Linked DNA regions of Anolis sagrei. Each later gene encodes a partner of the first gene's protein in a complex. Links are inferred from orthologs where the notes say so. Each region holds a gene or a part of one and is shown on either strand. Other genes may lie near its edges.

Region 1 (15,808 bases):
ACACAAAGTGGGGAGGGGGCAATGCAAGGGGACACAGAGCTGACTCCTCTTTTGAGTCTCTTCCAAGGCATGGGGAGACCTGAGCCCAAGACCCCTAACCTTGGGAGACCCGACTCCTTGCTTCCTGGATTTACCCCTTGAATCATCACAAAAGGGGTGCAAATGGGGGTCTGGCGGGGGCTTTGGATTGGGGAATGATGCGTTGAGGAGGGAATGGGGAGCCAGCTGGGGGTCAGTGTGGGTGGGCACAAAGTGAGGAGGGGGTAATGAAAGGGGACACAGAGCTGACCCCTCTTCTGAGTCTCTTCCAAGGCATCGGGAGACCCGACCCCTGGCTTCCTGGATGTACCCCTTGAATCATCACAAAAGGGGTGCAAATGGGGATCTGGCGTGGGATTTGGATTGGGGAATGATGGGTTGAAGAGGGAATGCGGAGCCAGCTGGAGGTCAGTGTGGGTGAGCACAAAGTGGGGAGGGGGCAATGGAAGGGGACACAGAGCTGACCCCTCTTCTAAGTCTCTTCCAAGGCATTAGGAGACCTGAGCCCAAGACCCCCAACCTTGGGAGACCCGACCCCTGACTTCCTGGATGTACCCCTTGAATCATCACAAAAGGGGTGCAAATGGGGGTCTGGCAGGGGCTTTGATCCCTTTGGATTGGAGAATGATGGGGAGCTGGCTGGGGGTCAGTGTGGGTGAACACAAAGTGGGGAGGGGGCAATGCAAGGGGACACAGAGCTGACTCTTCTTTTGAGTCTCTTCCAAGGCATGGGGAGACCTGAGCCCAAGACCCCCAACCTTGGGAGACCCGACCCCTTGCTTCCTGGATGTACCCCTTGAATCATCACAAAAGGGGTGCAAATGGGGGTCTGGCACGGGATTTGGATTGGGGAATGATGGGTTGAGGAGGGAATGGGGAGCTGGCCGGGGGTCAGTGTGGGTGGGCACAAAGTGGGGTGGGCGCAATGGAAGGGGACACAGAGCTGACCCCTCTTCTGAGTCTCTTTCAAGGCATCGGGAGACTAAAGTCCAAGACCCACACCCTTGGGAGACCCGACTCCTGGCTCCCTGGATTTACCCCTTGAATCATCACAAAAGGGGTGCAAATGGGGATCTGGCCATCCAGGCACCCAGGGGACGCCCAGATGTGATACCATCCTGTGGGAGGCTTCTCTCATGTCCCCACATGGGAAGCTGGAGCTGACAGATAGGAGCTCACTCTGTCTCACACATTTGAACTGTTGACCTTCAGGTCAGCTGTTCAGTTGGCACAAGGGTTTAACCCATTCCACCACCGCAGCTCCCAGCTAAGCAGGGTCATCCTCAATTATTGCTTCTAGGATGGGAGACCATCCGGCCCCAGTAACTGGTCAATATACATTTTGATGCCTCAAATGTTAGCTCTGGGTATATTTGACCTGCTGTTTCCAAAACTGGTACATATTCCTCCTTCTCAGCTCTAGTTTTTGAGATACGAACATATGGCATCTCTCAGCCGCCATCTGCTCACCCATAAGAAATCATGGTAACCATATCTAAGAAACTAGAGCTGGTGGGATCTGTTCAAGGCAATTTTCTGAATCAGTGGCAATCATAATAATAATAATAATAATAATAATAATAATAATATAGATCTCGTTTGCTGTGACATACTGTGCTTTTGTGTCAGTAAAATAATAATAATAATAATAATAATAATAATAATAATAATAATCACAATAATAAACACTGCTGGCTGTTGAATTGGATCACACGTCGGATCCTTCCCAAGTGTCTAGGACTGTGTGATGTATCGGCAAATAATGCGTGCAGATCCCAGTAAGGTGACCTTCTGCAGCTGGCAGATGGTAATTTTGTCAGCGCCGATTGTGTTTAAGTGCAGGCCAAGGTCTTTAGGCACTGCACCCAGTGTGCTGATCACCACTGGGACCACCTTGACTGGCTTGTGCCAGAGTCTTTGCAGTTCAATTTTTAAATCTTCATATCGTGTCAGCTTTACCAGTTATTTCTCTGCAATCCTGCTGTCATCTGGGATTGTGACATCGACAATCCATAATTATTATTGTTATTAATTTGTTATTAATTTTTAATTTCTATATGTATGTATTTCATCTTTTACAATTTAGCTGTAAATCGCCTAGAGCATTCTCGGATGGAGGGCAATTAATAAGTAATTATATATGATATTATTATTATTATTATTATTATTATTAGGACAATTCATTCCACAGTCAAATTATGTTGGTTCTGGCAAAGACAGCTCTTGGTGAAAGTTTGCAAATACCGTCCTTAGACACCAGCTTTGTATTCTTCTTCCTTTCAGACCAGTCTTGCTTCTCTGCCATTTTGTATAGCCCTTGCCCACCCTGCCTTCAACTTCTTGAGATGGGGCCACTTCACCCCTGATGCCAGGACCCCTAAAGGGCATCAGAGCTGGACTCGCTCTCCTCCCATTTGGGAACAGCCCCCCTTCGAGGGGTATTTTGTTAGGAAACCAGCAGCCTCCTATCAAGGAGCAAGCTGGCACAGAACTTGGTGTTTTTGCCACTCCCGTAATTGAGTGGGCACTTGGAGGGCAGCCTTGCGAAGCCACTCAGGGCTTCGAAGAGCCCCATTTGGTGTGCCAGTTGAACCAAGGCATTCTTTCACCTGCCTCGTTCACCAAGTCCACCACTTTCTCCTTTCCAGGAGAGCTGTTTGGACAAGTCAGAGGTTGAGCCATTGGGGCCCAGCTCTTGCCCCTTCAATGTATGCCTTTCTGGCTTCAGTTGTGCCAAAGGAAAAGGTGTGGTTTTAAGGGCAGAGAAAGGAACATCCCTCCCCACTCCCTGGCACTCAGGTGCCCTCCTGCTTTCTCCTGCCTCAACCAACTGGGCCACTGCGCTTAGTAGAGGTAGAATAGATAGATGAGACTATTTCATAATGACACGAACACTGGGCAGGATGGCACAGAAGAGGCAGCATGACTCAGGTGCCACTCCTGGCATCAGGAACCTCAGAGTACGGTGAAAGGGCGGAATAGGAGAAGGAAGAGAAAGAAGGAGGAAGAGAAGAGAAGGAGGAAGAGGAGAAGAGTAGAGAGAGAAGGAGGAAGGAAGAGAGAGAAGGAAGATGAGGAAGAGATTGGCATGGGAGTAGGAAGTGAGAGAAAGAGAAAGAGAAGGAGGAGGAAGAGTAGCATAGGAGCAGGAGGGAGACGGAGGAAGAGGGAAAGAGTGGCATAGGAGCAGGAAGAGAGCAAAAGAGGGAGATTAGATGGAGGAAGATGAGAAGGAGGAAGAAAGGAGTGGCATTGGAGCAGAAAGAAAAAGAAAAGGGTACGGAGGAGAAGGAGGAAGAGGAGAAGAGTAGCATAGGAGCAGGAAGAGAGCAAAAGAGGGAGATTAGATGGAGGAAGAAAGGAGTGGCATTGGAGCAGAAAGAAAAAGAAAAGGGTAAGGAGGAGAAGGAGGAGAAGGAGAAGAGTGGCATAGGAGCAGGAAGAAGGAGAAGTTGAGATAGGAGCAGGAAGAGGGAGGAAGAGGCAGAAAGAGCAGGAAATAGTGGTATAAGAACAGAAAGAAAGAAGGAGAAAGAGGCAAAAAGTGGTATAGGCGCATGAAGAGAGAAAGAGGATGAGGAGAAGGTTGGCATGGGAGCAGGAAGAGAGAGGAAGAGGAGAAGGAGCAGGAAGAGGGGTAAAGAGGAAGAAAAAGAGTGGCATAGGAATAGAAAGAAAAAAAGGAGAAAGAAGGGGAAGGATGAAGAGAAGAAGACTGGCATGGGAGCCGGAAGAGAGAGGAGGGAGAGGAGGAGGAAGAAAAGAAGAATAGCATAGGAGCAGAAAGAAAGGGAAGAAGGAAGAGGGGGAAAGGGGAGAAGGAGGAAGAAGAGGGGGAAAGAGTGGCATGGGGGCAGGAAGAGAAGGTGGAAGAGGGAAAAGGAGGAACATAGGTTGGCATGGGAGCAGGAAGAAGGAGCAGTAGGAAGAAGACGAGAGTGGCATAGGAGCAAGAAGAGAAAAAAGGAGGAAAAGGTGAAGGAGGATGAAAAGAAAATGGCATGGGAGCAGAAAGAGAGAAAAGGAAGAAGAAAAGAAAGTTGCATGGTAGCAAGAAGGGATAAAAGGAGGAAGAGAGAGAAGTTGGAAGAGGAGAAGACTGGCACAAGAGAAGGAAGGGAGAGGAGGAAGAGGAGAAGATTTGCATGGGAGCAGAAAGGAGGAAGAGGGAGAAGGAGGAAGAGGAGAAGACTGGCAGGAGAGAAGGAAAAGGAGAAAGAGAAGATTGGCATGGGAGCAGAAAGGGGTAGAAGGAGGAAGAGAGAGAAGGAGGAGGAAAAGAAAGTGGTGCAGGAGAGAGAAGAGGAAGGAGAAGGAGGAAGAGAAGAAGACTGGCACGAGAGAAGGAAGAGAGAGGAGAAGAGGAGAAGATTGGGATGGGAGCAGAGAGAGAGAAGGGGGAAGAGGAGAAGGCGGAGGAAAAAAGGAATGGCATGGAAGCAGAAAGGGATAGAAGGAGGGAGAGAGAGAAGGAGGAAGAGGAGAAGGCAGCGGAAAAGAAAATGACATAGGAACAGAAAGGGATAGAAGGAGGAAGAGGGAAAAGGAGGAAGAGAAGAACATTGGCAGCATTAGAACAAGAAGAGAGAGAAGGAGGAAGAGAAGAAGACTGGCACGAGTGAAGGGAGAGAGAGGAGAAAGAGGAGAAGATTGGCATGTGAAAAGAAAGTGGCATAGAAAGAGACAGAAGGAGGAAGAGGGAAGAGTCGGAAGAGGAGAAGATTGTCAGCATGAGAGCAGAAAGAGAGAGAGAAGGAGAAAGAGGAGAAGACTGGCATGAGAGAAGGAAAAGGAGAAAGAGAAGATTGGCATGGGAGCAGAAAGGGGTAGAAGGAGGAAGAGAGAGAAGGAGGAAGAGGGAAAAGGATGAAGAGGAAAAGATTGGCAGCATGAGAGCAAGAAGAGAGAGAAGAGGGAAGAGAGAGAAGGAGGAAGAGGAGAAGGAGGGCGAAAAGAAGCATGGCATGGGAGCAGAAAGGGGTAGAAGGAGGAAGAGGGAGGAGGAGGAAGAGGAGGAGGAAAAGAAAGTGGCATAGGAGCAGAAAGAGAGAGAAGAAGGAAGAGGGAAAAGGAGGAAGAGGAGATTGGCATCATGAGAGCAAGAAGAGAGAGAAGGAGGAAGCGAGAGGAGGAAGAGGAGAAGGAGGGCGAAAAGAAGCATGGCATGGGAACAGAAAGAGGGAGAAGGAGGAAGAGGGAAAAGGAGGAAGAGATTGGCAGCATGAGAGCAAGAAGAGAGAGAAGAAGAGAAGGGGGGGGGGGTAAAAAAAAGAATGTCATGGGACCAGAAAGGGATAGAAGGAGGAAAAGGGAAAAGGAGGAAGAGGAGAAGATTGGCAGCATGACAGCAAGAAAAGAGAGAAGGAGGAAGAGGAGAAGGCAGAGGAAAAAAGAATAGCATGGAAGCAGAAAGGGATAGAAGGAGGGGGGAGAGAAGGAGGAAGAGGAGAAGGCAAAGGAAAAGAAAGTGGCATAGGAGCAGAAAGAGAGAGAAGGAGGAAGAGGGGAAACTGGCATGAGAGAAGGAAAAGGAGAAAGAGAAGATTGGCATGGGAGCAGAAAGGGGTAGAGAGAAGGAGGAAAAGGCGGAGGAAAAAAAGAATGGCATGGAAGTAGAAAAGGATAGAAGGAGGGAGGGAGAGAAGGAGGAAGAGGAGAAGGCAGAGGAAAAGAAAGTGGCAAAGGAATAGAAAGAGAGAAAAGGAGGAAGAGGAGAAGACTGGCATGACAGAAAGAAAAGGCGAGAGAGAAGATTGGCATGAGAGCAGAAAGAGGCAGAGAGAAGGAGGAAGAGGAAAAGGAGGATGAAAAGAAAGTGGCATAGGAGCAGAAAGAGAGAGAAGGAGGAAGAGGAGAAGGAGGGCGAAAATAAGAATGGCATGGGAGCAGAAAGGGGTAGAAGAAGGAAGAGGGAGGAGGAGGAAGAGGAGGAGGAAAAGAAAGTGGCATAGGAGCAGAAAGAGAGAGAAGAAGGAAGAGGGAAAAGGAGAAGGAGGAGAAGGTTGGCATGGGAGCAGAAAGAGATAGGAGGAAGAGAGAGAAGGAGGAGGAGGAGGCAGAGGAAAAGAAAGTGGCATAGAAGCAGAAAGAGAGAGAAGGAGGAAGGGGAAAAGTCGGAAGAGGAGAAGATTGTGGCAGCCTGAGAGCCAGAAGAGAGAGAAGGAGGAAGAGGAAAAGGAGAAGACTAGCATGAGAGAAGGAAAAGGAGAAAGAGAAGATTGTCATGGGAGCAGAAAGGGGTAGAAGGAGGAAGGGAGAGGAGGGAGAGGAGGAGAAAAAATGGCATGGAAGCAGAAAGAGAGTGAAGGAGGAAGAGGGAAAAGGAGGAAGAGGAGAAGATTGGCAGCCTGAGAGCAAGAAGAGCAAGAAGGAGGGAGAGAGAGGAGGAGGAAGAGGAGAAGGAGGGCGAAAATAAGAATGGCATGGGAGCAGAAGGGGTAGAAGAAGGAAGAGGGAGGAGGAGGAAGAGGAGGAGGAAAAGAAAGTGGCATAGGAGCAGAAAGAGAGAGAAGGAGGAAGAGGGAAAAGGAGGAAGAGGAGAAGACTGGCAGCATGAGAGCAAGAAGAGAGAGAAGGATGAAGAGGAGAACATTGTCATGAGAGAAGGAAAAGGAGAAAGAGAAGATTGGCATGGGAGCAGAAAGAGAGAGAAGGAAGAAGAAGAGGAGGAGGAGAGTGGCCCAAGAGCAGAAAGGAGAAAGAAGAGGAGCCGGGCAGAAGGAGTCCCCCCCCCCGGGGGGGGGGGCATGCCCATCCCTGGGTGCTGCTCACATTTCGGTGAAGTTCTCCAGGCTACGGAGCTGGGCGAGGCTCCGGATGGTGTTGGGCTCCTGGCAGAGGAGGCTGTTGAGGTAGCAGCGGCATGGCTCCAGGCAGGGCGAGGGGGTGGCGGGGGGCGGCAGGGGCATCAGCCAGGCCAGCAGGCACAGGGCCAGCCCCGCCCGGCCCCAGGGCGCCCTCCTCGCCTCCATCCAGACCCCCAGTCTCAGTGGTCCATGGGGCACAGCCCTTCCCTCCCTTCAGCTCCCCAGAGCATCCCTGCCTCTCTCTCTCTCTCTGCCAAGCAGGGCACCTCTGCCTCCCGATGCCTGCCGCTGCATTTAAAGGGCAAAGGGGGAGGAGCCTCCCACACACACTGGCCACGCCCCCTCCCCACTCCCCAGGACCCTCTCTCTAGGGATGGACCCAGAGAGAGAGAGAGCAGGCTGCCATGGCCCCTCTCTAGGTAGAGCCAGGGCACTGGGACTGGCATCCCATTCTAATTATTATTATTATTATTATTATTACTATTACTATTATTAGAAACACAACAAGATGTGTCCAGAGCAGACACTCTGCTGGCTGTTTTATTGGATCACACGTCGGACACTTCCCAAGTGTCTAGGACTGTGTGATGTATCGGCAAACAATGCGTGCAGATCCCAGTAAGGTGGCCTTCTGCAGCTGGCAGATGGTAATTTTGTCAGTGCCGATTGTTTTTAAGTGCAGGCCAAGGTCTTTAGGCACTGCACCCAGTGTGCCGCTCACCACTGGGACCACCTTGACTGGCTTGTGCCAGAGTCTTTGCAGTCCAATCTTTAAATCCTCATATCGTGTCAGGTTTTCCAGTTGCTTCTCTGCAATTATTATTATTATTATTATTATTGTTATTATTATTTAATCCTTTTCTATGGCACACAGCAAACAGAGGAATTGATCAGCAACTGAACATACTAGAGAGGTTTAGGGAGAATTCACCACAAATTATAGGAATTGGAGGTACTGGGATGTATAGTTCACCTGCAATCAATGAACATTCAGAACTCCACCAATGATGGACCTGGAACTAGCTTGGCACACAGAACCCCCATGACTAACTCAACCTACTAGAGAAGTTCGAGGGGATTGAACTTGACCACGGTGGTCCACGCTCTGGTTACATTCTGTATAGACTACTGCAACGCTCTCTACGTGGGATTGCCTCTGAAGACTGCCTGGAAGCTTCAACTAGTCCAACGAGTGGCAGCCAGATTATTAACAGGAGCAGGGTACAGAGAGCATACTACTCCTCTGTTGCGGCGGCTGCCAATTAGCTTCCGAGCACAATTCAAAGTGCTGGTGTTGACCTATAAATCCCTAAACGACTCCGGCCCAGTTTACCTGTCCAAATGGATTCTCCCCTATGAACCATCAAGGTTGTTAAGATCTTCTGGAGGGTCCCTGTTCTCGGTCCCACCACCTTCGCAATCGCGTCTGGTGGGGATGAGGGACAGGGCCTTCTCGGTGGTGGCCCCTCGGCTCTGGAACTCTCTCCCATTAGAGATTAGATCTGCCTCTCCCCTCCTGACTTTCAGAAAGCTGCTAAAAACCTGGCTTTGGAATATAGCATTTGCAGAATGATGATCGAGTCAATAACGGCTGACCACACCGGCGGATGGGGATGAATTTGTGATTTTATTCTGACGACCTGGCTTTTGTAATAGTATGATATTGTATGATCTGTATTTTAATGTAATTTGTATTAATGTATTACGATGCTATTATGTTTACTATATTTGTGTTGAATTTTCTGCTGTTAGCCGGCCTGAGTCTCTCTTCGGAGGTCGAAGAGAGAGGAGATTCCATCTGAACACGAGGAAGAACTTCCTGACTGTGAGAGCCGTTCAGCAGTGGAACTCTCTGCCCCGGAGTGTGGTGGAGGCTCCTTCTTTGGAAGCTTTTAAACAGAGGCTGGATGGCCATCTGTCAGGGGTGATTTGAATGCAATGTTCATGCTTCTTGGCAGAATGGGGTTGGACTGGATGGCCCATGAGGTCTTTTCCAACTCTTTGATTCTATGATTCGAGAAGACCGGGTTATAAAAGCTCTAAATAAATAATAAATAAATAAATTGACTCACTCTAGTGCAGTGTTTCTCAACCTGGGGGTCAGGACCCCTGGAGGGGTTGCGAGGGGGTGTCAGAGGAGTCACCAAAGACCACCAGAAAACACAGTATTTTCTGTTGGTCATGGATGTTCTGTGTGGGAAGTTTGGCCCAATTCAATCCTTGGTAGGGTTCGAATGCTCTTTGATTGTAGGTGAACTATAAATCCCAGCAACTACAACTCCCAAATGTCAAGGTCTATTTCCCCCAAACTCTACTAGTGTTTACATTTGGGCATACTGAGAATTCGTGCCAAGTTTGGTCCAGATCCATCATTGTTTGAGTCTACAGTTCTCTCTGGATGTAGGTAAACTACAACTCCCAAAACTCAAGGTCACTGCCCACCAAACCCTTCCAGTATTTTCTGTTGATCATGGGAATTCTGTGTTTCCCAGTTCGATTCAGTTCTATCGTTGGTGGAATTCAGAATGCTCTTAGATTGTACGTGAACTATAAATCCCAGCAACTACAACTCCCACAGGACAAAATCAATACCCTCCCCCAATCTGTTACTATTCATAACAGCAGCAAAATGAGTTATGAAGTAGCAACGAAACTAATTTTATGGTTGGGGGTCACCATAACATGAGGAAGCATATTAAGGGGTCGTGGCATTAGGAAGGTTGAGAACCACTGCTCTAGTGCGAGTTGTAGTTTACTCTGCAGCCAGAGAGCACACTGGACCCCACCAATGATGCATCCAGAGCAAACTTGCCCAACATAACAATCTTTAAGTACTGATGGGGGGTTAACCTGGCCAGATGGGAGTTGTAGTTCACCCACAACGTTATGCATTTTGCACAATTAATAAATTGACTTTCTCAAATAACCCAGACACCACCAGGTACCCAAGGTAATAATTACAATACAATACAATAAACTACATAACGAAGGATAAACAATAACATAAACAATCAATATAAGACAATAGCAAACAGAATTAACATTAGATTTAAAGCTCCGTATGTAAACATGGCTATCACGTCCCCTCTTAGTCTTTTCTCTCTCTCCAAGCTAAACCTCCCCAGCTCTCTAATTGGTTCCTCAAAGAGTTTGGCTTCCAATGTTTTGATTATTTTGGACACAGTCCAGCTTGTCAATAGTCAGTGCCACTCTTCGCGTGCCCCAGAACACCTTTGGCTTTATCGCGGACTGAAGAAGTCAGGATGGGCTTGAGGACAGGCGGAGGTTGGCTTCCTCCAATTTGTCTCTTACCCTGTGGGCTGGCCACAGATTAGCAGGCCCATTGATTAACCACTCAGTGTTTAATTGATTAATCAATACACCAGCCATATTTACATGCATTTGCATACGGTAAACCAAACACATGAGCTCCCGGTGGTGCAGTGGGGTTAAACCGCTGCTGAACTTGCTGACCAAAAGATCGCACATTCAAATCCAAGGAGCGGGGTGAGCTCCCACTGTTAACCCCAGCTTCTGCAGTTCGAAAACATGCAAATGTGAGTAGATTAATAGATACCACTTCAGCGGGAAGTTAATGGTGCTCCATGTAGTCATGCTAGCCACATGACCTTGGAGGTGTCTATGGATAACGCTGGCTTAGAAATGGAGATGAGCACCAACCCCAGAGTTCAATATGACTGGACTTACCTTGACCTAACCACACATCTCCGAAACACCAAAGGATGCCTCCCATGCATATCCTATCAGGAAAAAATACCCACCATCCAATCATACCTTGTTCCATGAAGGTGTCCCTTATGCTCACCTGAATCCTGGCAAAGGAATTTACAAAAGCTAAAGTACTCGTATTTTTTTGTTACTAATTTATATTTATATTTCAAGAATGAAAATAAGAAAACTGTCCAAAAACTTTTCAGCCAAATGTGTGGGCAGGTAAATATAGCCTGTTTGATGATAGAACCTTTCAGCGGCCAGGCTTTGAAGCTGCAAGACTATTCAATGCTAGTCTTGTGTGTTTTATGGGTTCCATTTAAACATCCTGCTCCTATTTTATCTCATTATAGTCTGTTAATTGGGTTGTTGTAGGTTTTTTTCGGGCTATATGGCTATGGTCTAGAGGCATTTTCTCCTGACGTTTCGCCTGCATCTATGGCAAGCATCCTCAGAAGTAGTGAGGTTTGTTGGAACTAGGAAAAAGGGTTTATATATCTGTGGAATGACCAGGGTGGGACAAAGGACTCTTGTCTGCTAGAGCTAGGTGTGAATGCCTCTAGAACATGGCCATATAGCCCGGAAAAACCTACAACAACCCAGTGATTCCGGCCATGAAAGCCTTCGACAATACATAGTCTGTTAATTGTTTTTATTTGGAATATGTGGCCCGCCCATTGTCATCTCTATTGTGATTGTATCTATTGGAATTATTATTATTATTATTATTATTATTATTATTATTATTATTATGTCATTTTGATAATGTTGTTATTTGTTGTATATGCTTTGATTTTATTGCTGTATTATGTTGTCCGGACTTGGCCCCATGTAAGCAGCTCCGAGTCCCCATCGGGGAGATGGTGGCGGGGTATAAATAAAGTATTATTATTATTATTATTATTATTATTATAGTCTGTATTGTTTTTGCTTATTGCTTGTTGTTTCTATAGATGTGTTGTTGGGCTTGGCCTCATGTAAGCCGCTCCAAGTCCCCTTGGGGAGATGGTGGCAAGGTATAAATAAATTATTGTTGTTGTTGTTCAATGTATTGTCGAAGGCTTTCATGGCTGGAATCTCTCAGTTCTTGTGGGTTTTTTCGGGCTATATGGCCATGTTCTAGAAGCATTTCTAGAAGCAGGCGAAACGTCAGGAGAAATGCTTCTAGAACATGGCCATATAGCCCAAAAAAACCCACAAGAACTGAGAGATTGTTGTTGTTGTTATTATTATTATTATTATTATTATTAGTCAAGGTGGCCAATGGCAACATCCATATTTGCCTCCAACAGAGAATTCATTCTCCCACCCTGGACATCTTTCCACAGATCTATAAACCCCATAGAATCCTACAATCAAAGAGTTGGAAGAGACCTCCTGGGCCATCCAGTCCAACCCCATTCTGCCAAGAAGCAGGAATATTGCATTCAAATCACCCCTGACAGATGGCCAAAAAGTTTAAAAGCTTCCAAAGAAGGAGCCTTCACCAGACTCCAGGGCAGAGAGTTCCACTGCTGAACGGCTCTCACAGTCAGGAAGTTCTTCCTCGTGTTCAGATGGAATCTCTTCTCTTGTAGTTTGAAGCCGTTGTTCCGCGTCCTAGTCTCCATGGAAGCAGAAAACAAGCTTGCTCCCTCCTCCCTGTGCCTTCCTCTCACATTTTTATACATGGCTATCCTCTCAGCCTTCTCTTCTTCAGGCTAAACATGCCCAGCTCCTTAAGCCGCTCCTCATAGGGCTTGTTCTCCAGACCTTTGATCATTTTAGTCGCCCTCTTGCCTCATTTCCAAGAGACCTAACAACTTCTGAAAATGCCTGCCATAGATGAGGGTGAAACATCAGGAGAGAATGCTTCTGGAACATGGCCATACAGCCCGGAAAACTCACAGCAACCCTATGCCAGGTTGGCAACTGACTTTTTGGAGGTGGCTTTTGTGGAAAAGAGAAAGCTCTTTGCCAGGCAAAGCTAGACCCTTTGTGTAAGCCCTCTCCAACCGACCGATATCGGTGCCCCCGTTGATGGCCCGCCTGCTTCTCCTTCTGCTCCTCGTTGCCCCGATTTGCTAGGAAGAGTCCAGTGGGAGCCCCCGAAAGGCTAGTGAGAGTATTAGGGGTCTCCAGAGAGCTCTTGGCCTCCTCTAACAAGCATGGCCGTTGTTGATGGATGGTCCCTTTGGAAGTGGGCACAGATGGGCTCCTGCAGGGAGCGACAACACAGGCCGTACATCAGCAGATGTTGCAGAGGGGCGGGATATGCCTTCTTTTGGATATGCCATGCTCGAGGGCATGCAAAAAGAGACTCAGAATGGGGAGCAAAACAAATCTACTCACCTCTCACTCACTCTATAGAGCAGTGGTTCTCAACCTTCCTAATGCCGCGACCCCTTAATACAGATCCTCATGTTGTGGTGACCCCCAACCATCACATTATTTTCGTTGCTACTCCACAACTGTCCTTTTGCTACTGTTGTGACCTGTAATCTATATAAATAAAAACGTAATATTCGTTTGTGGGATTAACAGAACTCAAAAACCACTGGACGAATTGACGAAAAACTGGAAAGGTTTGGTGGACATTGACATTGAGTTTGGGAATTATAGTTCACCCACATCCAGAGAGCACTGTGGACTCAAACAACGATGGATCTGGACCAAACTTGGCACGAATATCCCATATGCCCAAATATGATGGAGTTTAAGGGAAATAGACCTTGACATTTGGGACACAAGACATCTAACAACCCAAATTGACACCTAACAACCCTAACAACCCATCCTCACTACCTCTGAGGATGCTTGCCATAGATGCAGGCGAAACGTCAGGAGAAATGCCTCTAGAACATGGCCCTATAGCCCGAAAAAACCCACAAGAACCTAGTGATTCCAGCCATGAAAGCCTTCGACAATACATTAAACCCAAATTGATTTTGCGATTTGGGAGTTGTACTTGCTGGGATTTATAGTTCACCTACAAAGAGCATTCTGAACCCCACCAATGATGGAATTGAACCAAACTTAGCACACAGGGCTCCCATGACCAACAGAAAAAACTGGAAAGGTTTGGTGGACATTGACATTGAGTTTGGGAATTATAGTTCACCCACATCCAGAGAGCACTGTGGACTCAAACAATGATGGATCTGGACCAAACTTGGCACGAATATTCCATATGCTCAAATATGAACACAGATGGAGTTTAAGGGAAATAGACCTTGACATTTGGGAGTTGTAGTTGCTGGGATTTATAGTTCACCTACAATCAAAGAGCATTCTGAACTCCACCAACGATGGAATTGAACCAAACTTGGCACACAGTTCTCCCATGACCTACAGAAAATACTGGAAGGATTTGGTGGGCAGTGTCCTTTGGTTTTGGAGTTGTAGTTCACCTAAATCCAGAGAGTACTGTGGACTCAAACAATGATCAATCTGGACCAAACTTGGCACAGATACTCAATATGCCCAAATATGAACACTGGTGGAGTTTGGGGAAAATAGAATCTTGATATTTGGGAGTTGTAGTTGCTGGGATTTATAGTTCACCTACAGAGCATTCTGAACCCCACCAACAACAGAATTGGGCCAAGTCTCCCACACTGAACCCCCATGTGGGCCACTGCAACATGTGGCAGGGGACGACTAGTGTAAATAATATGGAAGACCACCAGCATTGAAGCGATGGTCCTCCACCATCAATTCCGCTGGACCGGCCACATTGTCTGGATGCCCGACCACCATCTCCCAAAGCAGTTGCTGTACTCCGAACTCAAGAAAGGAAAATGGAATGCTGGATGACAGGAAAAGAGATTTAAAGATAGGCTGAAAGCCAACCTTAAAAACTCTGGCATAGACACTGAGAACTGGGAAGCCCTGGCCCTTGAGCGCTCCAGCTGGAGGTCAGCTGTGACCAGCAGCGCTGTAGAATTTTAAGAGGCATGAATGGAGGGTGAAAAAGAGAAACATGCCAAGAGGAAGGTGCATCAAGCCAACCTCGATCAAGACCGCCTTCCACCTGGAAACCAATGCCCTCACTGCGGGAGAAGATGCAGGTCAAGAATAGGGCTCCACAGTCACCTATGGACCCTCCAGAGCACTGATACTGGAAGACTATCCTACTCGGCCAATGAGGGATCGCCTATGGAAATAATATGGGGGATGCATTTTCATTCACCAGACCAAATTCGGCACAAATACCCAATATGCCCAAATTTGGGGGCAAGGGGATTGATTTTGTCATTTGGGAGTTGCAGTTGCTGGGATATATAGTTCACCTACAATCAAAGAGCATTCTGAACTCCACCAATGATGGAATTGAACCAATCTTGGCACACAGAACTCCCATGACCAACAGAAATACTGGAAGGGTTTGGTGGGCACTGACCTTGAGTTTGGGAGTTGTAGTTCACCTACATTCAGAGAGCACTGTGGACTCAAACAATGATAGATTGGACCAAACTTAGCATGAATACTCAATATGCTGAAATGTGAACACTGGTGGAGTTTGGGGGGAAATAGACCTTGGGAGTTGCTGTTGCTGGGATATATAGTTCACCTACAATCAAAGAGCATTCTGAACTCCACCAATGATGGAATTGAACCAATCTTGGTGCACAGAACTCCCATGACCGACAGAAATACTGGAAAGGTTTAGTGGGCATTGACCTTGAGTTTTGGAGTTGTAGTTCACCTACATTCAGAGAGCACTGTGGACTCAAACAATGATGGGTCTGGACCAAACTTGGCATGAATACTCAATATGCCCAAATGTGAACACTGGTGGAGTTTGGGGGAAAATAGACCTTGATATTTGGGAGTTGCAGTTGCTGGGATATATAGTTCACTTACAATCAAAGAGCATTCTGAACTCCACCAATGATGGAATTGAACCAGTCTTGGTGCACAGAACTCCCATGACCGACAGAAATACTGGAAGGGTTTGGTGGGCACTGATCTTGAGTTTTGGAATTGTAGTTCACCTACATCCAGAGAGCACTGTGGACTCAAACAATGATGGATCTGGACCAAACTTGGCATGAATACTCAATATGCCCAAATGTGAACACTAGTGGAGTTTGGGGGAAAATAGACCTTGATATTTGGGAGTTGCAGTTGCTGGGATTTATAGTTGAGCATTCTGAACCCTACCAAGGATAGAACTGGGTCAAACTTCCCACACAGAACCCCCAAGACCAACAGAAAATACTGTGTTTTCCTATGGTTTTTGGTCACCC
Region 2 (15,492 bases), on another chromosome or scaffold:
CCAAGTCCAAAAAACACACATTAGTTTTGGCCACAAGCCTCAAGTTCTGCATGTTTTGCTTTTCTTGTTTACCTGCCATGTGTCCACAACTGTTCCCTGTTGTCACTTATTATTATTTGTATTGTGCATAATCTCCATGGCATTTTACAACTGTGCCATTATAAATCCAACTGAAACAATGGAAATGTTGTAGGTTAACACTTATGTAAGTTAAATTAATTCAATATGTGTACTCGTATTCACATTAGTTAATTTAGGCCTAAGAATTTAAGCATGATGATATTTTGTAGCTGTTGCCTGAGAAAATAACTAGTTTGTTGCAGATGTTACAATATAACATACAGCATAGTAGGCACTATGCAGCACAGAAACTTGTATTGTAACCTCAATGCAGCTACAATACCATCTGAATGGGACTCCACATGATGGGCTTATCTTCATGGGCACAGTTCTCAAAGTGGGCAAAAAGTTGCTCTGTGATGTCTGCATGATGTCCTACCCAAACAATTTTAGTTTAATCTTATATTTAATCTTTGTTCTGTGTATTTTAATATGTATTTTGTAGAAATATGTTTTAATATGTGTTTTTATAGAATGTTTTAGATGATTATACATTTTTAGTGATCTTGCAACCCACCTCGAACTACAAGGAGAGGTGGGTAAGAAATAAAATTGTTGTTGTTGTTGTTGTTGTTGTTGTTGTTATGTATAAGGCTTTCTTGCTCCCAATGTGAGGTGAAGCCACTTAACATGGCTTTGCCCTCCATTACAAAAAGTCAAAACTTCCCTGAAGCTCCAAAGCAGGTTTGCACTTCAAGATGGTGTGAGTAGTTTAAAGGGCCAGTATTGCCGCATAGTTTTCCCCACACTTTGTGACATAGGGAAAAGAAGATGATGCCTAGTTGTGTCATTTTTTCATTGCTGTAGTAGCACCCCCCCCCTCCTCACCCCCACATTTCTGATCACATTGACAAAAATTCTGAGCAATAGACACGAGCTCTGTGGCTGTGACTACAGCAGCAGTGGTGGTAGCTGTTGTAGCCTGGTCAGATTCTGAGTGTTCAGATGAGGAGGAAGGGGATGCTGGGAAAGATTCAGAGGGCCTGGAGGAGAGAGGAAGTGGCCCATAGAGAGTTGTTTTGGAATATCCTCCCGGCTGTTCCCAAGAGACTGGAGAAGGTGAGATCCGTTCACATGGGAACCTGCCAGATGTTTGTCTAGGTCAAGACAATTGGAGTTGCAAAGACTGGGCATGTAACAGACTCGCTTTTCCCAGAGAATTAGAGATAAGGAGCAGAGAAGCAGGTGTGTGAGAAATAATGTCACGAAAGGATTTGGGGCTTTTTAAAGTGGTTCCTGCTGGTACAATCTTTGTGAAATCAATGCTGCATTAAGATAAAGAGTTCTTGGTTTTTGGGAGGGGGGTTGTTTTCTTGGCATGTATGTATTCAAGTTTCTAAGCTGTTCAACATCCAGGGCAAATTGGATGTTGTTATTGGTGAGATGTCAAGACTAAAGATAGACATTCTGGGGGTCAGCGAACTGAAATGGACTGGAATGGGCCACTTCACATCAGATGACCACCAGATCTACTACTGCGGACAAGAGGAACATCGAAGAAATGGAGTAGCCTTCATAATTAATAAGAAATTCGCTAAAGCGGTGCTTGGATACAACCCAAAAAATGACAGAATGATCTCAATTCGAGTGCAAGGAAAGCCTTTCAACATCACAGTGATCCAAATATACGCCCCAACCACAGCTGCTGAAGAAGCAGAAGTAGATCAGTTCTATGAGGATCTGCAGGAACTACTGGATAATACACCAAAAAGAGACATTATTTTCATTACAGGAGACTGGAATGCCAAGGTGGGAAATCAAATGACAACTGGGATCACAGGCAAGCATGGTCTGGGAGAACAAAATGAAGCGGGACGCAGGCTGATAGAATTCTGCCAGGAAAACTCGCTGTGTATAACGAATACTCTCTTCCAACAACCTAAAAGACGGCTTTATACATGGACCTCACCAGATGGTCAACACCGAAATCAGATTGACTACATCCTTTGCAGCCAAAGGTGGCGGACATCCATCCAGTCGGTGAAAACAAGACCTGGGGCTGATTGTAGCTCAGACCACGAACTTCTTATTGCCCAATTTAGAATAAAACTAAAGAGATCAGGGAAAATACACAGACCAGTTAGATATGATCTCACTAACATTCCTAGCGAATATACAGTGGAAGTGAAGAACAGATTTGAAGGACTAGATTTAGTAAACAGAGTCCCAGAAGAACTATGGACAGAAGTCCGAGACATTGTTCAGGAGGCGGCAACAAAGTACGTTCCAAAGAAAAAGAAAACCAAGAAGGCAAAATGGTTGTCTGCTGAGACACTGGAAGTAGCCCAAGAAAGGAGGAAAGCAAAAGGAAACAGTGAAAAGGGGAGATATGCCCAGTTAAATGCGCAATTCCAGAGGTTAGCCAGAAGAGATAAGGAACTATTTTTAAATAAGCAATGCACGGAAGTGGAAGAAGACAACAGAATAGGAAGGACAAGAGACCTCTTCCAGAAAATTAGAAACATTGGAGGTAAATTTCAGGCAAAAATTGGTATGATAAGAAACAAAGATGGCAGGGACCTAACAGAAGCTGAAGAGATCAAGAGAAGGTGGCGAGACTATACAGAAGATCTGTATAGGAAGGATAACAATATCGAGGATAGCTTTGACGATGTGGTGAATGAATTAGAACCAGACATCCTGAGGAGTGAGGTTGAATGGGCCTTAAGAAGCATTGCTAACAACAAGGCAGCAGGAGATGATGGGATCCCAGCTGAACTGTTTAAAATCTTAAAAGATGATGCTGTCAAGGTGATGCATACCATTTGCCAGCAAATATGGAAAACACAAGAATGGCCATCAGACTGGAAAAAATCAACTTATATCCCCATACCAAAAAAGGGAAGTGCGAAAGACTGCTCAAACTTCCGTACAGTGGCCCTTATTTCTCATGCCAGTAAGGTAATGCTCAAGATCCTGCAAGGAAGGCTCCAGCAATACATGGAGCGAGAGTTGCCAGATGTTCAAGCTGGGTTTAGAAAAGGCAGAGGAACGAGAGACCAGATTGCCAATATCCGCTGGATAATGGAGAAAGGCAGGGAGTTTCAGAAAAACATCTACTTCTGCTTCATTGACTATTCTAAAGCCTTTGACTGTGTGGATCATAATAAATTGTGGCAAGTTCTTGGTGGGATGGGCATACCAAGCCACCTTGTCTCTCTCCTGAGGAATCTGTACAAGGACCAAGTAGCAACAGTCAGAACTGACCACGGAACAACAGACTGGTTCAAGATTGGGAAAGGCGTACGGCAAGGCTGCATACTCTCACCCAACCTTTTTAACTTGTATGCAGAACACATCATGCGATGTGCGGGGCTGGATGAATGCAAAGCTGGGGTGAAAATTGCTGGAAGAAACATTAACAACCTCAGATATGCAGATGACACCACTCTGATGGCCGAAAGCGAGGAGGAGCTGAGGAGCCTTCTAATCAAGGTGAAAGAAGAAAGCGCAAAAGCCGGGTTGCAGCTAAACGTCAAAAAAACCAAGATTATGGCAACAAGAATGATTGACAACTGGAAAATAGAGGGAGAAACCGTGGAGGCCGTGACAGACTTTGTATTTCTAGGTGCAAAGATAACTGCAGATGCAGACTGTAGCCAGGAAATCAGAAGACGCTTACTTCTTGGGAGGAGAGCAATGTCCAGTCTCGATAAAATAGTGAAGAGTAGAGACATCAGACTGGCAACAAAGATCCGCCTAGTCAAAGCCATGGTATTCCCTGTAGTAACCTACGGATGTGAGAGCTGGACCTTAGGGAAGGCTGAGCGAAGGAAGATCGATGCTTTTGAGCTGTGGTGCTGGAGGAAAGTGCTGAGAGTGCCTTGGACTGTGAGAAGATCCAACCAGTCCATCCTCCAGGAAATAAAGCCCGACTGCTCACTGGAGGGAAAGATACTAGAGACAAAGTTGAAGTACTTTGGCCACATCATGAGGAGACAGGAAAGCCTAGAGAAGACAATTATGCTGGGGAAAGTGGAAGGCAAAAGGAAGAGGGGCCGACCAAAGGCAAGATGGATGGATGGCATCCTTGAAGTGACTGGACTGACCTTGAGGGAGCTGGGGGTGGTAACGGCCGACAGGGAGCTCTGGCGTAGGCTGGTCCATGAGGTCACGAAGAGTCGGAGACGACTGAACGAATGAACAACAACAACAAGCTGTTCTTGCTTCCAGTTCCTGTGTGGCATAGTTTGGAGTCATGTAACCTTGCCTTTGGATATCTCTGTGGATTGACTTTGGAGACTTTCTTTTAATAAATTTTTGGACTCTCAGCATTTATGGAAATAACATTTTGAACTTTGATTCTCTCTTTTGAATTTGCTTGCTTTTTATATATTCTGCCTTTAATAAACTTTTACTTATTGGATTATATGGACAGTGTGTGGTTTGTAGTGAAAAGAGGCTTCAGGGCCCTAGTGAAACAGCAGCAATGGCAGCAACAACAGCAACAATCGACACAAACAAGTGTGGCTATCCAGTAGTAGAGCCTAACCAGGCTAAGCCCAACTGGGCAATCCAGACTTAATCCTGCTACTGCACAACGAAATGGGAAAGAGGAGGGTTCAATCTGGAGTACTGCCACTCCAGATTTAGGACATATTAAATGGCTCTTATAGAGGGACCCATCATTATCACTTTAGGGCGGAAACTAGCATGGTATATAGGTTAGACCAGGGGTCCTCAAACTATGGCCTGGGGGCCGGATACGGCCCTCCAAGGTCATTTACCCGGCCCTCGCTCAGAGTCAACCTTAGTCTGAAATGACTTGAAAGCACACAACAACAACAACCATCCTATCTCATCAGCCAAAATCAGGCCCACACTTCCCATGGAAATACTAATAAGTGTATATTTGTTAAAATTGTTCTTCATTTTAATTATTATATTGTTTTCATGTGGTTTTTGCACTACAAATAAGATATGTGCAGTATGCATAGGAATTCATTCATGTTTTTTTCAAATTATAATCCGATCCTCCAACAGTTTGAGGGACTGTGACCTGGCCCTCTGTTTAAAAGGTTTGAGGACCCCTTGGGTTAGATTATTAGATGAAGATGGAGCTCTCCCGCACCTTGAGCTTGATTTTCTTCACAAGGCTACTTTGACCTTCTTAGAGAAAATAAAAACTATGACTGTTGCAAGCAATTAATTAACCAACCAACCAACCATTACCACACTTTCTTGAAGGCACTTGTACAGTATGTATAGGCACTATGTAACAATAAGACAATACACCCACATGGAGACAGCACATCCTCATTTGGAAAGGGTTATCATTAGCAATCGCAACCTCATTATATTTCACTTGGCGTGATGCAGTCTTGAGGCAATATAAGCAAGTTAAACACTTCAAAACTATAAAATAATTACAATACATTTTAAAAGAGCTTAATCATCTTGAAAATAGGTTTAACAGGTTAGAACAGTCTAAAACCTAGTGCCTAAGTATCTTAGAGTGAGTCACTTACTCCCCAAATGCTTCTTATATTAGTCATGTTGATATATGGCACCTATATAAAGTTTTAATTGGCACCAGGTAAAGGCATTCCACAAGTGGCATATTACAAATGAGAAAGCCTCACACAGCATTGATCATATCAATGGGATACATAAGAGATCCCTTCTGGCAGGCTCTGTCATTGGGCAGACATATATAGAGATGAGTACTTCATTTCCCTGTATGTTTACAATAAGCATATTTAGGCAAAATCTAAGGAATAGCCATTAAGCTTTATGGAAGGGTGACCTAAGTGTCTGCTGCACTCAGTATGTGAGTAATGTCCAGGCCAGGCATGTATACCTTTCACACTTTAGTTGTGAGCTCTGTAAAGAACACTGTAAAGAATAATTTATTGCCTTGTTATTGATTAATTGTGCAATATGCTATTACTTATGCATACCACTCTGTAATTGACAGGCGTAGGCATAATTGGTTTACCCTGGCATGAACTTTCACAGAGGGTTCTTTGCTTTCTCTTATGCCTTGTTATTGATGAATTGTGCAATTTGCTATTACTTATATATACCACTCTGTTATTGACAGGCATAGGCATCATTGGTTTACCCTGGCATAGCTTTTGCAGAGGGTTCTTTGCTTTCTCTTATGCCTAAAGTGCACTGAGTTTCTTTTTCAATATTTTGAAACCAGAAGAAGGAGAATCCTGCCAAACTAAGGCAAGTTTGCTACCGGGCACAATTCAAAGTGCTAGCTTTAGCCTATAAAGCCCTAAACGGTTCTGGCCTAACTTACCTGTCTGAACTCACCGTCTCCTCTGAACCAGCTAGGGTGTTAAAATCGTCTGGGGAGGCCCTGCTCTCGGTCCCGCCAGCGTCACAAGTATGTTTGGCGGGGACGAGGGACAGGGCCTTCTCAGTGGTGGCCCCTCAGCTGTGCAACGCCCTCCCTACAGATATTAGATCACCCTCCTCCCTGTTGACATTTCGGAGGAAAGTGAAGACCTGGTTGTTCGAGCAGGCATTTGAATAGGCAGTGTAACGAACATAGGAATATGGAACAATTGGATTATGAGACTGGATCTTGATTTTAACTATGAGACGCTAATGAGATGTTTAATTGACTTATATTGACTGTTTATTATGCTATTGTTTTAATTGTTTATAACTGTTTTATGATTTTTTGAGCATTGCATTTTGCTATTGTTAACCGCTCTGAGTTGCCCCAGGGCTGAGAAGAAAATATAGTAAATAAATAAATAAATTTATTCTAGAAAGTATGGATTTATAATCTATGTATCTTGGCTTGCTGATGGTGATTAGCAATTTGTGGAAAAAAATTATTTTGACATTATAAATTAATATAATGTCCCAGCTTTTTAACGTCAGCTTGTTACTATTATATTGGTTGCACAGTACAGAGTCCCAGTCTCCCAAAAGTAACAATATTTATTATAACTGTTTACATGTCACCCTTTTAAGTTTTTTATCAGAAGTTTGCTTGATCATCTAATTCAACATTCAAACAGAGAATTCTCAGTTGGCACTCAATTGCTTTTCTGACAGTGGTAGTCCAATATCTCCTACTGAAAACTGTGCCACTACTGATAATCCCATTATTACCATTTCCCTGCATTACCCTTCCTCTTTCACCCTGCTTTCCTTCCAGCACACAAATATTTTGACTCCCTCTCTTGCCTTTCAGTTTGGCTGCCTATGCCATCTATTCTTACATAGAAATATTGGCACATGGTGCAGCAGCAGGATATGAAGAAGGATGATAGAAGAGGAGGAGGTAGTAGAAAGTTAAGGTCAGGCACCCTCAAACTACAACCCTCACTCCAGCTGTTTGTGTCTCTAGCTCCCAGAATTCTTGACTATTGAACAAGCTGGCTACGGCTTAGACTCATAGAATCATAAAGTTGGAAGAGACCTCATGGCCATGCAGTCCAACCCCCTGCCAAAAAGCAGGAAAATCACATTCAAAGCACTCCTGACAGATCGCCATCCAGCCTCTGTTTAAATGCCTCCAAAGAAGGAGCCTCTGCCACACTCCGGGGCAGAGAGTTCCGCTGCTGAACGGCTCTCACAGTTAGGAAGTTCTTCCTAATGTTCAGATGGAATCTCCTTTCTTGTAGTTTGAAGCCATTGCTCCATGTCCTAGTCTCCAGGCAGCAGAAAAAAAGCTTGCTCCCTCCTTCCTATGACTTCCCTTCACATATTTATAAATGGTTATCATGTCTTCTCTCACCCTTCTCTTCTGCAGGCTAAACAGCTAGAGGATGCCTGGTTATGATAATAACTCAGCCAATGAGGCAGGAGAAAAGAAAATGAGGGAGAAGTACAAGGGAACTTTAGAAAAAGAAAGGAGTTGAGGATGGAAAGTGTGTTTGGTGGTACCATGTAAGGAAACAGATAAATGAGGATGTGCAGGAGATGTGGTGAGTTAAAAGGGAAGGCGATCAAGCAAAAAGGGTGGTTGTCAGGCAATGAGGAAAAGAAGCAGCACAATTCACAATGTCCAGTGCTCTTCTTCCTCCAGCAAATCAATGAATGGCAAGAATAGAAATGACTTAGATCTTATTACACCACTAAAGTGTGATTTCTATAGGCATAGTATCCTTAAAATTGATACATGTCGTTTCCATGATTTCACTTGTTCACTTCGGCCTCCTGTACAAACTACCACTTCTTTTCAGCATCTCTAACATTCACAGGAACATACCCACCATGGATATTGGAGGGGATTGTCCTGTATTTCACCCCCCACCCCATCTTCCTTACTAGTACTTGCTTGGCCTCTGTCCCTCACTTTTTCCCCTCCGTGATGCTGCAGGAGGAAGACAGTGTGGCACAGAGTGAGGGAGCAACAAGGGAGTGTTTCACCATTGGCAGTGCTGTGCCCCCCCCCCCCCCAAGGATGAAAACTGGAGATAGCAGCAATAATGGTTCTGTAGGAAATGAAATTTTGGGGAACTGATGCCTTAGGGTATTTGGGTCCAGTTTGATCTTGGCAACCCAAAGAGAAACTGGATTGACTCCACTGAATATGTCATTTCTGCAAATAGCCCTGTTTCGAATTCAAATTTCTTCCCAAGAAGATCCAAAAGCAAACAAAGGTGGTGGCTTTGTACCTTGGTGTGGGGGCTGCTTCTTGGGGGGAGGCTGCCAACAAGGAGCAGATTCTTTAAGGGTTGTTTTCAGTGTTACAGATCACCAAAACGAATGGGCTTGAAACCCTTGAGGAAGTACACTGTTTCTTCCAAATACCATATATGTTTTTTCCATGTCAAGCATGACTTGAGAAACTGCAAGTTGTTTGTGGTGTGAGAGAATTGGCTGTCTGGAAGGACATTGCCCAGGGGGTGCCTGGATGTTTTGATGTTTTAGCATCCTTGTGGGAGCCTTCCCTCATGTCCCCGCATGAGGAGCTGGAGCTGACAGAGGAAGCTCTACCCACTCTCCCCAGATTCGAACTACTGACCTGTTGGTCATCAGTTCTCCTGGCACAAGGGTTTAACCCATTGTGCCACTGGGGCTCCCAAAGACCAATTGAAGGCACATGTATGTATACTGTATACCTTGTAGAAGGAAGGCAGTTTGACCAGAGGTCAGCTGCCATGGCTCCTTGCTACTGGATTTTAGTTGGGTGAGCCACCAGAGAAGGAGAAAGACTTTGTGAAATGTAATGGTATAGAACACATCGTCATGGCAATGAAAGTGGGGTTAAATTGCATTCATCCGACAGTGTAGATCAGGCTTGGGCAAACTTGGGCCCTCCGGGTGTTTTGGACTTCAACTCCCACCATTCCTAACAGTCACAGGCCCCTTCCTTTTCCCCCTAGATGCTTAAGCTTAAACCTGTTAGGAATGGTGGGAGTTGAAGTCCAAAACACCCGGAGAGCCCAAGTTTGCTCAAGCCTGGTCTAGATGCCCTCGTAGGCGATTTCAACCAGACAGTCCTGGTGTCCGGAGCTTGTTGCGGATAAGCGAAGACCTGGTGCCAGGTCAGGCACGATGGGCGTGGACGGCTGGGTGGGTGGACCTCGAGGCGTCGGGGAAGCCCCGTGGGCGGCTGCTGTCCCTCCTCAGGAGACAGGAGCCGGGGCCCCTCGCCCGGTATGAAAGCGGGGCGGGCGGGAGGAGGAGGCGGCAGAGAGAGGCAGGCGCTCTTCTTTCTCTCCCGCGACGTGTCCCGCGCGCCTTCCCTGGGACTCACTCAGTCAGAGCCGGCCAGCGAAGGAAGGAGTGAGTGAGTGAACGAGCGAGTGAGCGGCCCTCGGGGGAATCTTCCCGCGCGAGTCTGGGCAGCTCGCTCCTCGGCTTTGATGGCGCTAGGACCCAGGCGGAGCGCGAGCGGGAGGCCGAGGGAGAGCGCCCCCGGGGCTGCGTGAGTCAGTCCGACCGACCTACCGTCCGACCATCCGTCCGAGGAGCGCCGTCGGAGTCGAAGGGCAGCGCGCGGTGGATGAGGCTGGGGCGCGCGGTGGCGAAGTGGATGGCTCGCGGGCGCCGGGGGAGCGGCTCGAGGGTTCGCGGAAAGCGGGGCGGCCACGGAGAAGAGAGCAGCACCGGCACCAGCTCCTCCTGAAGGGGATCTCTCTCCACCTGCCCGCCGGAGGTGAGTGAGTGAGTGAGCGAGGGAGGGAGGGAGTGGGACCAGCACAGCCTGGGCGACTTGTGCCCCCGGGCAAACTCCAAGGGCGCCTCTTCTGTACTGTAGTCGAATGAATGCCGTTGAATGGGCAACACTTGAACTGCCCTTGAACTGGCTCGGGGCTGTCTTTCGCCTTTCAGAGATTCCAGACCACACATCCCAGGAGTGCCAAGCCTCTCCTTGGGGCCCTAAGCCACCCTTGGGAAATTGCTCCTTTTCTGTCTAAGGTACAGACAATACAGTTGGGAACTACATTATGGCGTTAGTGTAGGATCTATATACAGTAGAGTCTCGCTTATCCAACCTTCCCTCATCCAACATTCTGTATTATCCAATGTAGTCTGCTTCCTGCCCTGATCCACAGCTGTTTCAATACATTGCAATGTTTTGCTGCTAAATTCGTAAATATAGTAATTACTAGAAAACGTATCATGTACTGAACTGCTTCTTCTGTCAATTTGTTATAAAACATGTTTTGGTGCTTAATTTGTAAAATCAGAACATAATTTGGCATTATATAGGCTTTTGCTTAATCCCTCCTTATTATCCAACATTTTCGCTTATCCAGCATTGTTCCGGCCCATTTATGTTGGGCAAGCAAGACTCTACTGTAGTTGCATGCAGTTAAACTGCATTATATGGGTCTACACCACCCATAATCAGCCTTCCATGTGTTCTGGACCTTAACTCCCTTAATTCCTAACAGCCGATGGGAGCTAAAGTTGGGCCCACTTTCATCTTGGCAACCCAAAGAGAAACTGGATTCACGCCACTGAACATGCAATTTCTGCAAATGGCCCTGTTTCAACTTCCAAGCCCCATTCCCAAGAAGATCCAAAAGCCAACAGAAGTGGTGGCTTTGGAGCCAAGGAGCAGGTTCTTCAGGGGCTGTTTCCAATATTACAGGTCATCAAAACGAATGGGCTTGAAACACCTGGAGGGCCCAAGTTTGCCCATCCCTGGTCTATACTGACGCTATAATGCAATATCCAAATTGCAATATCTGGCAGTGTAGATCCAGGCAAAAATCCCTGGTTAAAAAGTCCCGCAGCCTCTATTAATAGCTCCAGGAGGGGAGTCTGGAGGGTAGGTTTGTTGTAAACCACTTTGAGTCCCCCCAGGGATAAGAAAAGCGGGATATAAATACAGTAAATAAATAACATAAATAGATTTGCAGCAGGCCTTTGCTAAGTGCAGGGTTCGTTTTCCAAAAACCAAGGGCACGAGAAGCCCATATTGATGCCATTAGTATGAAACACCACGCATGAATGTGACCTTCTGCTGTAAGTCAGTGCAAGATTGCCACTCTTTCCTCCTCTCCTTTACAGTTTTTAAGACAGCAATAGACACTGCATTTCTAAATCAGTTGATTCTCCCTCTTTTATCCCTCAAGCAATGAACTCCTCGCTGTCTGCCTAGCAGGGGCAGGATGGAAACGGATGGTATTCATTGATTTATGCTTCAGGACTGGGCTCTGTGTGTGAGTGAGTGTGTTTGACACCAGACAGTGGTTGAAAGAGTTGAAAGGGAGGGGGAAGGATAAGAAGAGTTTTGAATTTGCAGTTTGTTGGAAATTGGTGGCATTATTTCTCCTTCCACTGAACCTCAGAGCATTTCCATGTTTTCTCAGAATATTTGGAATTTTAAGAACAAATGCCTAAATAAGAGTGTGCTTGTTTGCTATGTGCTTTTCTGCAGTGTTGGAACTAGGAAAGTTTGCAGACATCAGAGGGTACTGGTGGAAAACCTTTTGTGGTATGAACTAAGGCTCTGTGTATGATTTCTTGTGTGAATCCCAGTAACAAAGTCTCTTCTGTTGACCTGAGAAGTTGCTAAAACTTTGAGATCCTGGTTGTTTTTGTTCTTAGAGATTTGTTCTTAAACTCCTCCTGACAGCTTCACTTGTGCAGATGCATTAAAGCCACCTGGTTTCAGTGATGTCTTCTGTTTGGTCAACAACTTCATAATTGGATTGTTGTGAGTTTTCCGGGCTGTATGGCCATGTTCCAGAAGCATTCTCTCCTGGCATTTTGCCTGCATCATTTTCCTAATTTCCAACAGACTCCAGAACCTCTGAGGATGCCTGTCATAGATGCAGGCAAAATGTCAGGAGAGAATGCTTCTGGAACATAGCCATACAGTCTGGAAAACTCACAACAACCTAGTGATTCCGGACATGAAAGCTTTTGACAATACAACTTCATAATTAAATGATTCAACCGTGATGACCTTTCTGTGTCATTGCATAGATAGAGTGCTGCAGTGAAATGAAATCTATAGACTGTAGTAAAATCACATCATGATGGTCCATGGAAGTATTATCTGAAAGATCTTAAACCAGGATAAATAAGTGCCAGGGGCCAGATGAGTTAGATGAGACACATGCCTTGGCGAAGAGAACGGGGACCGTAATCTCCACTTTCTGAATCACTGCTTAACAATCCAAGGAACATCTGGAGACATTGCTCAGCGATATAGTCACTTTCAAAGGGGTATGTGGAATTGGGATAATGATTATTCAACAACTTCAGAAATGCAGGGAACTCGCCCTAAAGGGACAGAATCTGTTTCATGGTAGAAGTCATGTTGACGGCTGCTCATTACTCCATCCCAGCACTAGATCAGCTCCGAGTTCACAGTTTTGCTTAACAGCATTCACCTGCTGCTGCTGCCGCCTCTTCTTGGTGAATTGATTTCAGATTCATTTAAAACATTGCCAGGAGCTCAAGGATTTTTCATCGCCCCATAAAAATGCTTTTATGGCCTACAGAGCCAGTCCCAGTTTTAAAGAAGGAGTATTTCATATATGCATTACATTGTCAGAGTTTAGATTCAAAAAATCTAGCCTCGTTCTGTGTTGATGTTACCTTTCTTTTATGGAACAAAATGAAGGCACAAATTAGAATGGTGTTGTCTGCTTAATGGGATAAAAATTACTTTGATAATGGTTTGCTGTGAATTTTCTGGGCTGTATGGCAAGGTTCCCGAAACATTCTCTCCTGACGTTTCACCCACATTGGCAGGCATCCTGAGGTCTGTTGGAAACTAGGCAAGTGGCATGTCCATTTGCGAACTAATACTTTGATATCAGTTTGTAATCACTCAGTAGACATCAAAATTATGTTGTGTTGCTTTCAAAAGAAGCAATGTTTCTTTCAAGATTCCTGTACATATTCATTATTTTCAGTTTAAGAGCTGAAATGTACTGTCTTGTTAGCACTAATGTATTTAGTCCTTCCAACCCCCAATTGAGGGGGGAAATGTTGCTCAAATGTCATCAAACAAAACTTACAGATTCTGTCACATCATTGGTTCAGTTTGTGGTTGGGAGGATGATGTAGTGTCTTTCCCAGAGCTCCAAACCACCACTTTCCATTTTTCTGATTTTTTTGGAAAAAAAGGTATCATTCCATTTAAAGCAATGGGGACCTCTGCTGGCAATTCCAATCTAGCAAATACACGCTGAGTGCAGTAATCTGATAAACATGAATTGTCCCTGATTGGTTTAATAACCTCCATTAAAGAAAGTTACAAAATGCTAAGTAAACATACCCAGAAATAAGTTGCATTGACATTAATGAGGTTTGCTTCTGAATAAATGCACTTATAGGGATTGAGCTGGAGTTTTTTTTTATAAACATTATTTTTTAAAAAATCTCTCCAGATGTGTTCTTAGGTTTTGTGTGGAACTGCGAGGCAGATTCTTTACAGATAAGATTTTTTGTTTTATGCTGTATGCCAGAAAACCCTCCTGATTTTGTCTGCAGAGTGGAGGAGTAATTTTAATAATACAACAAAATTTCAGGGTCGGGAAATTGTGCCACATTTCATTCTGGCATTTCAGATGGAAACAGTTGACTCTGTTATAGGTTAAACATTAAACCGTTCATCGTCTGGAATTAATTAATCTACAGAAAGACAAGTGGGGCTTTTGGGTCTCCCCCACTCCAGCCTTTGTATGATTATCAAGAAACAAAAGAATTACACAATTAAGTTGTTTGTGAATTAAAAGAGAGATACAACACTCCTGTATGTGCTTTCCATTGCCTTGAAATTCATGGTGCTTACTCAGTTTAACTCTGCCTTGGTTTGTTCAATATGAACAACTGGACTTTCATAGAAATAGGAGACCACCCATCAATTGCAAATGCTGTCCATGGAAATGGTAGATAACCAAAGCAGCAAGAACTTTAACCACAGCTATGAACTAGAGAGCATATGGCAGACCTCTTCACCAAAATGACTTGTTCGCTGTTGCCTATGGATGCGAGATCTGGACTTGATAGTAGCAACTGTGGTTATCTCCCCTATAATTAGAATAATAATAAAAATTCAGCAAGAGCCAGTAAGTTATGAGCATTTGTGGTAAGAACTTGTCAAATGTTAGCTTCCCCAGTACTAAACTGCTTTACTGGAAACAATATATTACAGTGTAGAAAGATGTGAATATAGGCAGCTTTCTGTATCCATGGATTCTGCACCCATGGATTCCGCTACCCACAGATTGAAAATATGTATTAAAAAAATTCTGAAGAGGAAACCTTGATTTTGCCATTCTAATTAAGGGACAGCATTTTGCTATGCTGCTGCATATCAAGGGATTTGAGTATCCATGAATTTTTGTGTCTACAAGAACCAAAGCTCTGTAGATACTAAAGGTCCACTATCTAAACCAAAATGTTTCAACAATACCAAACTTGTTTCATACAACAATCATTTAATTAGACTGTACTATATGTATTGTGTTTGGTCTCATCTTTTGTATGAAACAAGGGGATCCTCACAGAGGCTAACATCCAGTCCCTTTGAGGTGCAAACATCCTATAGTTAGGCTCAAATGTAATGGGAAATGGTATTTATTTATGTATGGTGTCAGAAGCAAATTGAGGGTACATTTATAATGTATTTTAAAACACAAACAAAATTTAAAACTTGGCATTATACTAAATTTCCTTTGACCAGTAGCTGGCCACTTGGAGTGCCTCTGGTGTTGCTATAAGAAGGTCCTCCATTGTGCATTGTGCAGGCTGTATTATAATAAGTGGTTTGTGGTTTACTCTTCTCCACACTCGCATGTTGTAGACTCTACTTTGTAGCCCCATTTCTTAAGGTTAGCTCTGCATCTCGTGGTACCAGAATTTAGTTTGTTCAATGCCTTTCAAGTCACCCAGTCTTCTGTGTGCCCAAGTAATAGACCCAAGGAAGAGTCTCTCATTCGGTATCAGACATGGATTGAGGTTATGAGTTTTAGCCTGCCGCTT

What was found.
Region 2: the proteins of NTRK1 (region 1) and NGF are in contact, whole or in part, in a crystal structure (PDB 1WWW), measured with the Homo sapiens proteins. The link is inferred for Anolis sagrei from reciprocal best matches to the Homo sapiens genes NTRK1 and NGF. Residues at the interface, in NP_002520.2 of Homo sapiens: His291, Val294, Glu295, Met296, His297, Cys300, Pro302, Phe303, Ser304, Leu333, Glu334, His343, Gly344, Cys345, Arg347, Thr352, His353, Met379, Asp380, Pro382; in NP_001424474.1 of Homo sapiens: His125, Pro126, Ile127, Phe128, Arg130, Gly131, Glu132, Phe133, Ser134, Ser138, Ser140, Trp142, Tyr173, Phe175, Arg180.

Annotation. Positions count from the first base shown.
Region 1 is NC_090032.1:10,579,830-10,595,637, forward strand, and holds the start of NTRK1 (high affinity nerve growth factor receptor), read right to left. Parts: upstream 7,140-15,808; 5' UTR 7,011-7,139; coding exon 6,811-7,010; intron 1-6,810. UniProt on the Homo sapiens protein: Receptor tyrosine kinase involved in the development and the maturation of the central and peripheral nervous systems through regulation of proliferation, differentiation and survival of sympathetic and nervous neurons.
Region 2 is NC_090024.1:203,800,373-203,815,864, reverse strand, and holds the start of NGF (beta-nerve growth factor), read left to right. Parts: upstream 1-9,657; 5' UTR 9,658-10,195; intron 10,196-15,492. UniProt on the Homo sapiens protein: Nerve growth factor is important for the development and maintenance of the sympathetic and sensory nervous systems.